Linked DNA regions of Saccharomyces cerevisiae S288C. The gene in region 2 interacts genetically with the main gene of each other region. Each region holds a gene or a part of one and is shown on either strand. Other genes may lie near its edges.

Region 1 (4,882 bases), on a different chromosome or scaffold from region 2:
AGATGTCCTTTGAGCAAGTGGCCTACAACGAAATCTTCAAGTGTTGCCTTTTACTTTGGCATAGAAGCATCACGACATTTATATATACAAGCCTGGTGAAGTGCCTTGCGTTTACTTTAACCTTTAGGAGAAAAAAATTTTCGGTGTTGGTTTCTTTTTTTCCTTTCGGTGCAAAACTGTGGAGGAAGATGGCAATAAATTAGTGAAACGGTAATGCCGTGTGGACTGCATATGCCGGATATAGCATTTATCAGTCACGACAGAGCTGATTATCCTTACTTGGGTGAAGTTGAAGTTGTTGTGATAAGGTTAGAATGCAAATGAAGCTTTGTCAGCGCTGAGAAAGAAAATTTTGTTTTGTGAGCCACTACTATCACGTGCCATTACCATTTTAATCAGTTATGAAATAGGGGAATGTGTCATTGAGGGAAAATGTAATGGCCACCAAATGAATCAGAGGGTCGGATGAGAACACACCCTTACTAACTGCTGTTCATATCTCACAGTTGCCATTGATAAGCTCTGGTGGGAAAATACCCTTGATTTTTGGTAGCACATATTGACATAACAAAAGTCTTGACTTTGCCAATTGGAGAGATGGCCACTTATAGAGGAAAATACTCGTAAAAATAATCATAAACAGTAAGCCATGTCAGTATCTTACAAGGGAACAATTTCTAAGACACATTCTGTTTTTAAACCAGAAAAAGGAAGGTATTATATTTACGGGGCCCTTGGGTGTCCATTCACTCATAGAGCCATTCTTGCCAGGTCTTTGAAGAAATTAGAACCTGTTCTAGGGCTTGTGTTATCTCACTGGCAATTAGACTCCAAGGGTGCCCGTTTCTTACCTGCTCCACACCGGCCGGAAAAATATAAAGAGAGATTCTTTACTGCCACTGGTGGCATTGCTTCAGCTAAATTAGACGAATCTGAGGAGTTAGGTGATGTGAACAATGACTCTGCAAGGTTGTTCGTGGATGGCGCTTTCGACCCGGTGGAAAATATATCAAGGTTAAGCGAGTTGTACTACTTAAATGATCCTAAGTACCCCGGTACAAAGTTCACTGTGCCTGTTCTGTGGGATTCTAAAACAAGGAAAATTGTTAACAATGAGAGTGGCGATATCATAAGAATTTTGAACAGTGGCGTGTTTGATGAATTTATCCAAAGCGAAGAAACGAACGTGATTGATCTAGTTCCGCATGATTTAATAGACGAGATTGATAAGAACATCAAATGGGTTCATCCGAAGATTAATCTTGGTGTCTATAAAGTCGGATTAGCAGAAAACGGAAAGATTTACGAAACTGAAGTAAAAACACTGTTTGAAAACTTGCAGAAGATGGAATGTGTACTAAAAGAAAATTATAAGCGCTTAGAGGAGCAATTCAGTGGTAACAAACAGAAAATCTTGGCTAAATATTTTGTTTTAGGACAGAGGTTAACTGAAGCGGATATCAGATTGTATCCATCAATAATTAGATTTGACGTCGTGTACGTGCAGCACTTCAAATGCAATTTGAAAACTATAAGGGATGGTTTCCCGTACCTTCATTTGTGGTTGATTAATCTATACTGGAATTACGCAGAGTTTAGATTTACTACAGATTTTAATCATATTAAGCTCTTTTACATCAGGATGGAAGTAAGTAGGAACAAGATCAATCAGTTTGGTATAGTGCCATTAGGCCCAAAGCCTGACATTTCTAGATTATGAAAACTTCTAATATTTTCTTACACACACATATATTTATATGCATGGCTATACTTCAAAAGAGGTTGTCACTTCCATTTCCATGTAGGTAAAACTCGTGTATAGACGGAACACAGACTTCCCTAGTTTTATTGACTTCATAGTCTCTGCACCATTCAATTATGTCTCTGTAAAAGAGACTCTTCTTTATATCGCCCTTTTCTATATTCTCCATCTCCAGTTCTTTGAAGCATTTTGCTTTTCTCGATTTATGACAACCACACGGTTTTACACTCTCCTCTCCATGTTCTACCATTTCATGCCTCCAGTCAAAAAATGGTTGACTGTATTCCCTACTTGAATCCATACTTGATTCAACAAGGTAGTTTCTCGAATTCTCAGGTAGTACTGCCACCCTCCTTAAACGTTTCTCTCTTTGTCTTGCTTCCTTTCTTTGTTCTATTTTTGGCGGAATGGTAAATTTCACAGGATTCTTGGATCCATTCTCATTTTCATTCAAGGCATTTAAGTCCAAGGAAAATAACCGTATGCTCACGTTGGACCCTTCAAACGTGAAACTATCTTCACTCAATATACTTCCTACACCGCATTGTTCCTCGTTACTACTTGAATCCTGTATATCTGAGAGAGAGGTAAAAAATGAGTAGGTATCTCTTTCCCCCTCACATTCGTAAGTGCCGACTTCTTTATTCAAACAGGCCTTTCCCATTTCTCAAAGACCTCTTTTCGTAACCTATTTAGTAATGATGAAAAGTATTAAACAGTATTTTCAAGATAAGAATTTTATTATTTTGTACCATTTACGATACACATAAACCCCAGAAAAAAACAACTTTATGGGAAAAGGCGAATAGTACTCATAATATACAAGGTAAAAGCAGGCGTATCTCAGTCATACAGTTCAATAGAGAAAGGCATTTTTGGAATATCATACATTTTATCTAGCAAGTGGAAACAGACTGTATATTCCCAAGAATCATCGCCTTTTTATCACAACGTCAGCCTCACAACTAATTCGCGTCAAAGCGCATTCATCCTCGACATTCTCAAACGCGAAATATCGTCGAAAAAGGTTAAAAAGAAAAGAGAGAAGGACAGAAAAAGAAAAAAGTAAAGTAGAGCTCGATCTCGAAAAAAAGAACCATTGCGTTCGTTCTTAACTACGCCAAGAAGTTTTTGAAATTTCATCCTCTCCACTGAACAATAATACTATTATTTAGTAACGATATAGAACATTTACATACAACGTTCTAATATTTTGGCTTCTATCATCGCTTAGAAATATTTGGCTAGGAAACATTAGGACTAATGAGAGACTATAAATTAGTAGTATTGGGTGCTGGTGGTGTCGGTAAATCCTGCTTAACCGTGCAGTTTGTACAGGGAGTTTATTTGGATACGTATGATCCAACGATCGAAGATTCTTACAGGAAAACCATCGAGATCGATAACAAGGTATTCGACCTGGAAATTTTAGATACAGCGGGTATAGCACAATTTACTGCAATGAGAGAATTATACATAAAGTCAGGAATGGGGTTCCTGTTGGTATATTCAGTAACAGATCGGCAATCTTTGGAAGAATTAATGGAGCTAAGAGAACAGGTCCTTAGGATCAAAGATTCCGATCGCGTTCCAATGGTTCTAATAGGTAACAAGGCTGATCTAATCAATGAAAGGGTAATAAGTGTGGAAGAAGGTATAGAGGTAAGCAGTAAATGGGGTAGAGTTCCCTTTTATGAAACAAGCGCTTTGTTGAGGAGCAATGTGGATGAAGTGTTCGTTGATTTAGTTAGGCAAATCATTCGGAATGAAATGGAAAGTGTTGCAGTTAAAGACGCAAGAAATCAAAGTCAACAATTTAGCAAAATCGAGTCTCCATCAACCAGGCTCCCTAGTTCTGCGAAACAGGATACGAAACAATCAAACAATAAGCAATCATCAAAAGGTTTATATAACAAATCTTCACAAGGACAAGCTAAAGTTAAACAATCTACTCCGGTTAATGAAAAGCACAAACCGTCACATGCCGTTCCGAAATCTGGTTCTAGCAACAGGACAGGAATTAGCGCTACTTCACAACAAAAGAAAAAGAAGAAAAACGCTTCCACTTGCACTATTCTATAGTCACTTAATTTTATTATAAATGAATCAAGATATCAGATAAAAAGACTTTACTTGAAATAGTTTTATTATAGTTCTAAAAGGTTTAGTTTAAAGTATTAGCATACGTTGTATAAGTTTTTAAAGAAATCAATTAATAATGTTTGAAAATAAATTTAAACCCAAAAAAAATGAAATGTTAAAAATATGGACGCAACCGGAATCGAACCGATGACCTCTTCCTTGCAAGGGAAGCGCGCTACCAACTGCGCCATGTGCCCGCAATCTATGGGATTTTACGGTAGATGCTGCGTTACGTATAAAAAATATTAAATGAACAGATCCACACTCTCGTAACTAAAGCTCACACTGTAGTTTCTTATAGTTTATGTTGATTGATATAATTAATTCAGAGGGTCTTTAGTCTCAGATATACTTCGCAATTACTTAAAAGAGTAATCGTTAATGTTTTCCCTCCAACATAGTCGTTATCGTTTAGCGTGCGTTATCAAGTTTCAACGATGACAAAATGATTGATTAATTAGTCCATTTTTCTTTCCTATCTAGTAAAATCAAAGTGTTTCTTCTCAACCTGAGATCTAACTCACTGTATTGATATTGAAAATCTGAGTAGTCTTCTAAAAAGCACAGAAATTAGGCCGATGTTTTCGACTTCATATCTCGTCGTGAGGCTGTTTCGCACGCCTTTTATTTGTTTAGATCGGACATTTAGGGTGATTCATATCAGGTCATATTGCGGCATCTCATCTCAAGAATAAAATAGAATTACTGTGTTTGACAATGGTCTATCGTCCACTGATGGAACAAAAGTCGGGAGCAATTCTTGTAAATGGAAGAATACAAAATGGCCACCAGTAGCGGTGAAAATGGTTTAGTAGTCATCCCTCCTTTAATACGAAACATTCAGTGGGTCTCCGTGAACGTCTCTATTCTATTTTCGATAATCGATCCACTGACTCTCAGGCGCTTCTTATATTATCTTTCTCGATATTATAAATCAGCCGATACAGGGTTACACCAAGTGTCTTTACATAATCCTGA
Region 2 (3,966 bases):
CCAACCTCAACGATGCTGTAGAAGAGGTTGTCTCCCTAAAGGGTTGGCCTCATAAAGTTTGCGAAAGCTGGATCGAAGATGCTAGAAGAAAATTAGAAGTCCAGCGCCTGGTAGAGATTCTTGACTGTGAAATAAGGACGTTGTGAAAGAATAATACAAAGAGAAAAGAGATGTACGTCATTACACCTCAATTTCCACTTTGTTTAGGAGGCTTTAATAAAGAAGAACTAAATACCTAAAATGTAAGTTAGCTGTTACTCGTCATTTCCGATTCAAAGAATTTTGAAATCTTTTTAAAACAATATAACTTTGTAGGAATTGGAACAACAATGTGTATATAAATAGTATTTCAACGACAAATACAGGTTCAAATAAATAAAAAAATACGAAAATATACAAAAATGCAACAACGTTTAAACTCCAAAATAACCAAACATCCCGCAGTACAAAAAACATGAATAAAACAACAGAATAACCAAAACAATACTAAAACAAAACATTCATTCTGCAGCTTTGCAAATTCCCTTACATAGCAGTTCTCTACCGCATTCCATTAATGCAGTGGTTCTATTTTCCACATATCCGGCCTTATTATAAAACTCTGGTCTTCGTTTCATGATCACTTCGGGGGTTTTTATTTGCAATAGCTCCGATAGCGATTCCACTGCGTTGGCTAAGAGCATTTGGTTATCAACGAAAATCTTCGTCAAATTATGAGATGCATCCGAGTAATATGCCACGGCAAATGACCATTTTAATACGGTTCGTCCCTCATTCAACACTTTTAAACTTTCTGATAGGAACTGTCCATCAATCCATGAGATACCTATTCTTTCTTGTAGTGCATGAACTTTCGTGCCCAAAGTTTGCCCCAGGTTCCAATCAAGCTTGGCTGAAACTTCATGTTCGTTAAACAATCTATAGTAGAAAGTGTATTTCTTCAAGGTTTTATTAGCGTCTTGAGGGTTCTTACTTTTATTATCCTCATTATTCTTATACATTGTACATTGAAAAAAGTTCTTACCGTGGGGCGCCCAGGGGCCCTCACAAATCCAACAGAATTCGTATTTACAACTTGAGCAAACCATGTGGTTGCAGCCACCATTTTTTTCAATATTAACAGAACATTTTGGACATTCTTTAGTGTGGGACAAGACCCAATTCAAAATTTCTGATTCTTTTCTGGCTTTTTTAACCCAAGCAGTGGTTATTTTACAATCTGCTGGGGAATGAACTTCGAATCCGCAATTGAAACAGAATCTATGAAATGAATTACACTTAACGAAAGGTGAATAATGCAAACGGGTATATTCTGGTAATGATGACGTATCTCGCAAGTGCACGATGGATTTACAGTCAGCAAACGGGCACCATTTATAGTTACGATTATGTTTTTGAACAAAACTTTTGATTGAAGAATCCATCAACTTACTACTCGAAGGATGTCCCATCACTTTATCTATATCTTCATTTTTCAATGCCAGGGAACAGTCCATGCATGTAATGATGTTCCCCTCATGCAACTTATCCTTGATGTAATGACGGTAGCAATTGATACAATATTCATGGCCACATTCCAACGCAAATGTTTCCGTATCCTTTTTATCACAACAAATAATACATGTAAAGTCATTTTTGAATTCAACTTCTCTGAAATGTGAATTATAATCATTATCTTTCTTGATATTTGCTGTGGTACTTAAGCCAAGCTCCACAAGCAATTCGTCCATTTTTTCGGTCCAAACTTCTAGCAAACGTTCCTCGTTCCAATCATAATGCTGTAGTAATATCAATATATCCGCAGATGGAATTGCAAAAATAGGTTGTAAATGGTCAACCCTTTGAAGCATTCTTTCAAATATACCCTTGGTGGTTAAGCATTCATAACTGAGATTCGGTACACTCCCTTCACACAGTATTCTTTTGTTGTTTTTCGTAAGAGGAGCATCTAGCATCCCCTCATATATGGTATCGACTCCATCTTCATCTTCATTGATGTCAAATTCTGAATCTTGGCTTGTTACACTAATTAACTTCGGGAAAACTAGTCCATGTATAGTAAATTCAGATGTATTGTGAGATTCATAAAGTTCAATAGAGCTGGAATCACTTTCATCAAAACTATAAAATTGATCATTTTCGGTACCACTACTCATTGTTAAAAGCCTCTAACAAGTACACCCAAATTCGCTAAAGACAAATTAAATATACTTAAAGAATGGCTATAATTCCTGTATAGTAGCTGGGATAGTAACAAATCAATACAAATGTAGCTACCTTAAAACTAAGGCAGTACTCACAGCATTCTTCACCTTCCTCTCCTCTTTTCTAAAGCGGGTTCCTATTTTTTGCGCAAGGAGGAAGGACGATGGCACTGAGAAAGCATCAAATCGTATGTAATTAAACTACGCAAGGTATGTACGGTCAATAAGTATAGCTTAGCGCTTTAAAATTAGGTGGGACATTAGGAAAACTAATAGGGGAAAATATTTCTTAAAAAAAAGGGCATGAGGGCTGATCAAAACTTGATTACAATGAATGGTCAACGCGGTCAATGGCAGCCTTAATTTTCATACCTACTCTCGTACTCAATTCATAATCATCTGCGTAGCCCTGAGCCCTCAGTAACCATTCTTTACTCTCTGGAAGGCCATCCATGCCCTCCAACTTCCATGTAAATAGAGCACGTTCATAAAGTGCAGTCGGATAGGCCCATGGATCTTCAGTTTTCTTTATATATTTGACCTTGCCATTTTGAATGGAGAAAAACTTAGGTAGAACCTTTTCATCCAATATATCACAACCTTCTTGGATATGACCTAATCTTCTTAATGTCAAAGAGACCAAGAGATCTTTGATTAACTCCTGATCTGAGTCTAAAGCTTCAATGGCGGGATTTCTATACTCAGTTAGCATTTTCTTTGTTAGCTCCAAATGCTCTTCAGACATTCTATTATAACCATTGTAGAAGTACGCAATTTCGTGTACTGGTGAAGTAGCGATACCATCCAGAGGATTTTCCACCCCAAGTTCCTCCTTTTTCGCTTTAAATTGCTCAACTTTTCTCAGAATAAACCTATCTAATGGCAGGTTCTTCGATTTGAAGGTTTTCTTACCTAGCAAATTCACAGAGGTGAAGATAAGTTCTTCGGCCTTCTTTTGGTATTCATCCTTTTTGTCTGACTTCATTAATCCCATTTCGCACATTCTCCAATTTTCTAAATAACAGCAGCCAGCAAAATATGTGTAAAAAGCGTGTGACCAATCACTGATGTCTAATAGCGATAAAATATCTTCTGCAGCTCTATCGTATTGATGCAAATGGATCAATGTTATAGCACGGTCAAAAATCATCAAGGATTTGACCTGTCTCATCCGTATCTTGCTAACATCAATCGAATCCATCAATGCGACTGCTTCCTCTAAACGCCCTTTACCAGATAGCATCCTTGCCTCATTCAATAACCATAGCGCACTATTGGGAAATAGCGCTCTTGATTGCAGCAACGCATCTTCCAGTATTTTCCCAGGATGCAACAACGTAGGGCCATCCATCTCTTCATCTTCAGAATCTTCACTGTTACTGGAATCCTTAACTGCTGCAGGAATATCAAAATCATCGTCAGTGAATTGGAAAGGTCCATCATAGTAAAACATCAGGGCTAACAAACCAATACAACCATGCACGTTTCTTTGCTTTGTGGCTTTCCAAACAAGTCTCAAACCTTCTTCTCTGGAACCCCTGAATCCAACCACAGATAGGACCGCGCCAATAGCGGGTGGTAATAGTGATATCACAACCTGTAAAATACCAAAGCATAAATTGACACCAGAATGGACAAACTCATCAATTGTTGCTTGACTTAAATCTATATCATCCGAAAGAACTTTATGATCTGTTATTTCCTCTTCTGGCAAGTCTTCCATTGCTTGTAGTCCTAGCTCACCTCTCAACCTGTTAATTGC

The links. A genetic interaction does not mean that the proteins touch.
Region 1: mutations in HEL1 (region 2) and YGR153W together harm fitness more than expected from each alone (negative genetic interaction), as found in Saccharomyces cerevisiae (one large-scale study listed by BioGRID).

Annotation. Positions count from the first base shown.
Region 1 is NC_001139.9:793,636-798,517, reverse strand, and holds YGR153W (uncharacterized protein), read right to left. Parts: upstream 2,427-4,882; coding exon 1,773-2,426; downstream 1-1,772. Other genes in the region: GTO1 (omega-class glutathione transferase), read left to right, coding at 650-1,720; Ras family GTPase RSR1, read left to right, coding at 3,026-3,844.
Region 2 is NC_001143.9:471,194-475,159, forward strand, and holds HEL1 (E3 ubiquitin-protein ligase HEL1), read right to left. Parts: upstream 2,157-3,966; coding exon 501-2,156; downstream 1-500. Other genes in the region: MIC60 (Mic60p), read left to right, coding at 1-146; YKR018C (uncharacterized protein), read right to left, coding at 2,530-3,966. UniProt on the Saccharomyces cerevisiae protein: Probable ubiquitin-protein ligase involved in the degradation-related ubiquitination of histones. Contributes to the post-translational regulation of histone protein levels by polyubiquitination of excess histones for subsequent degradation.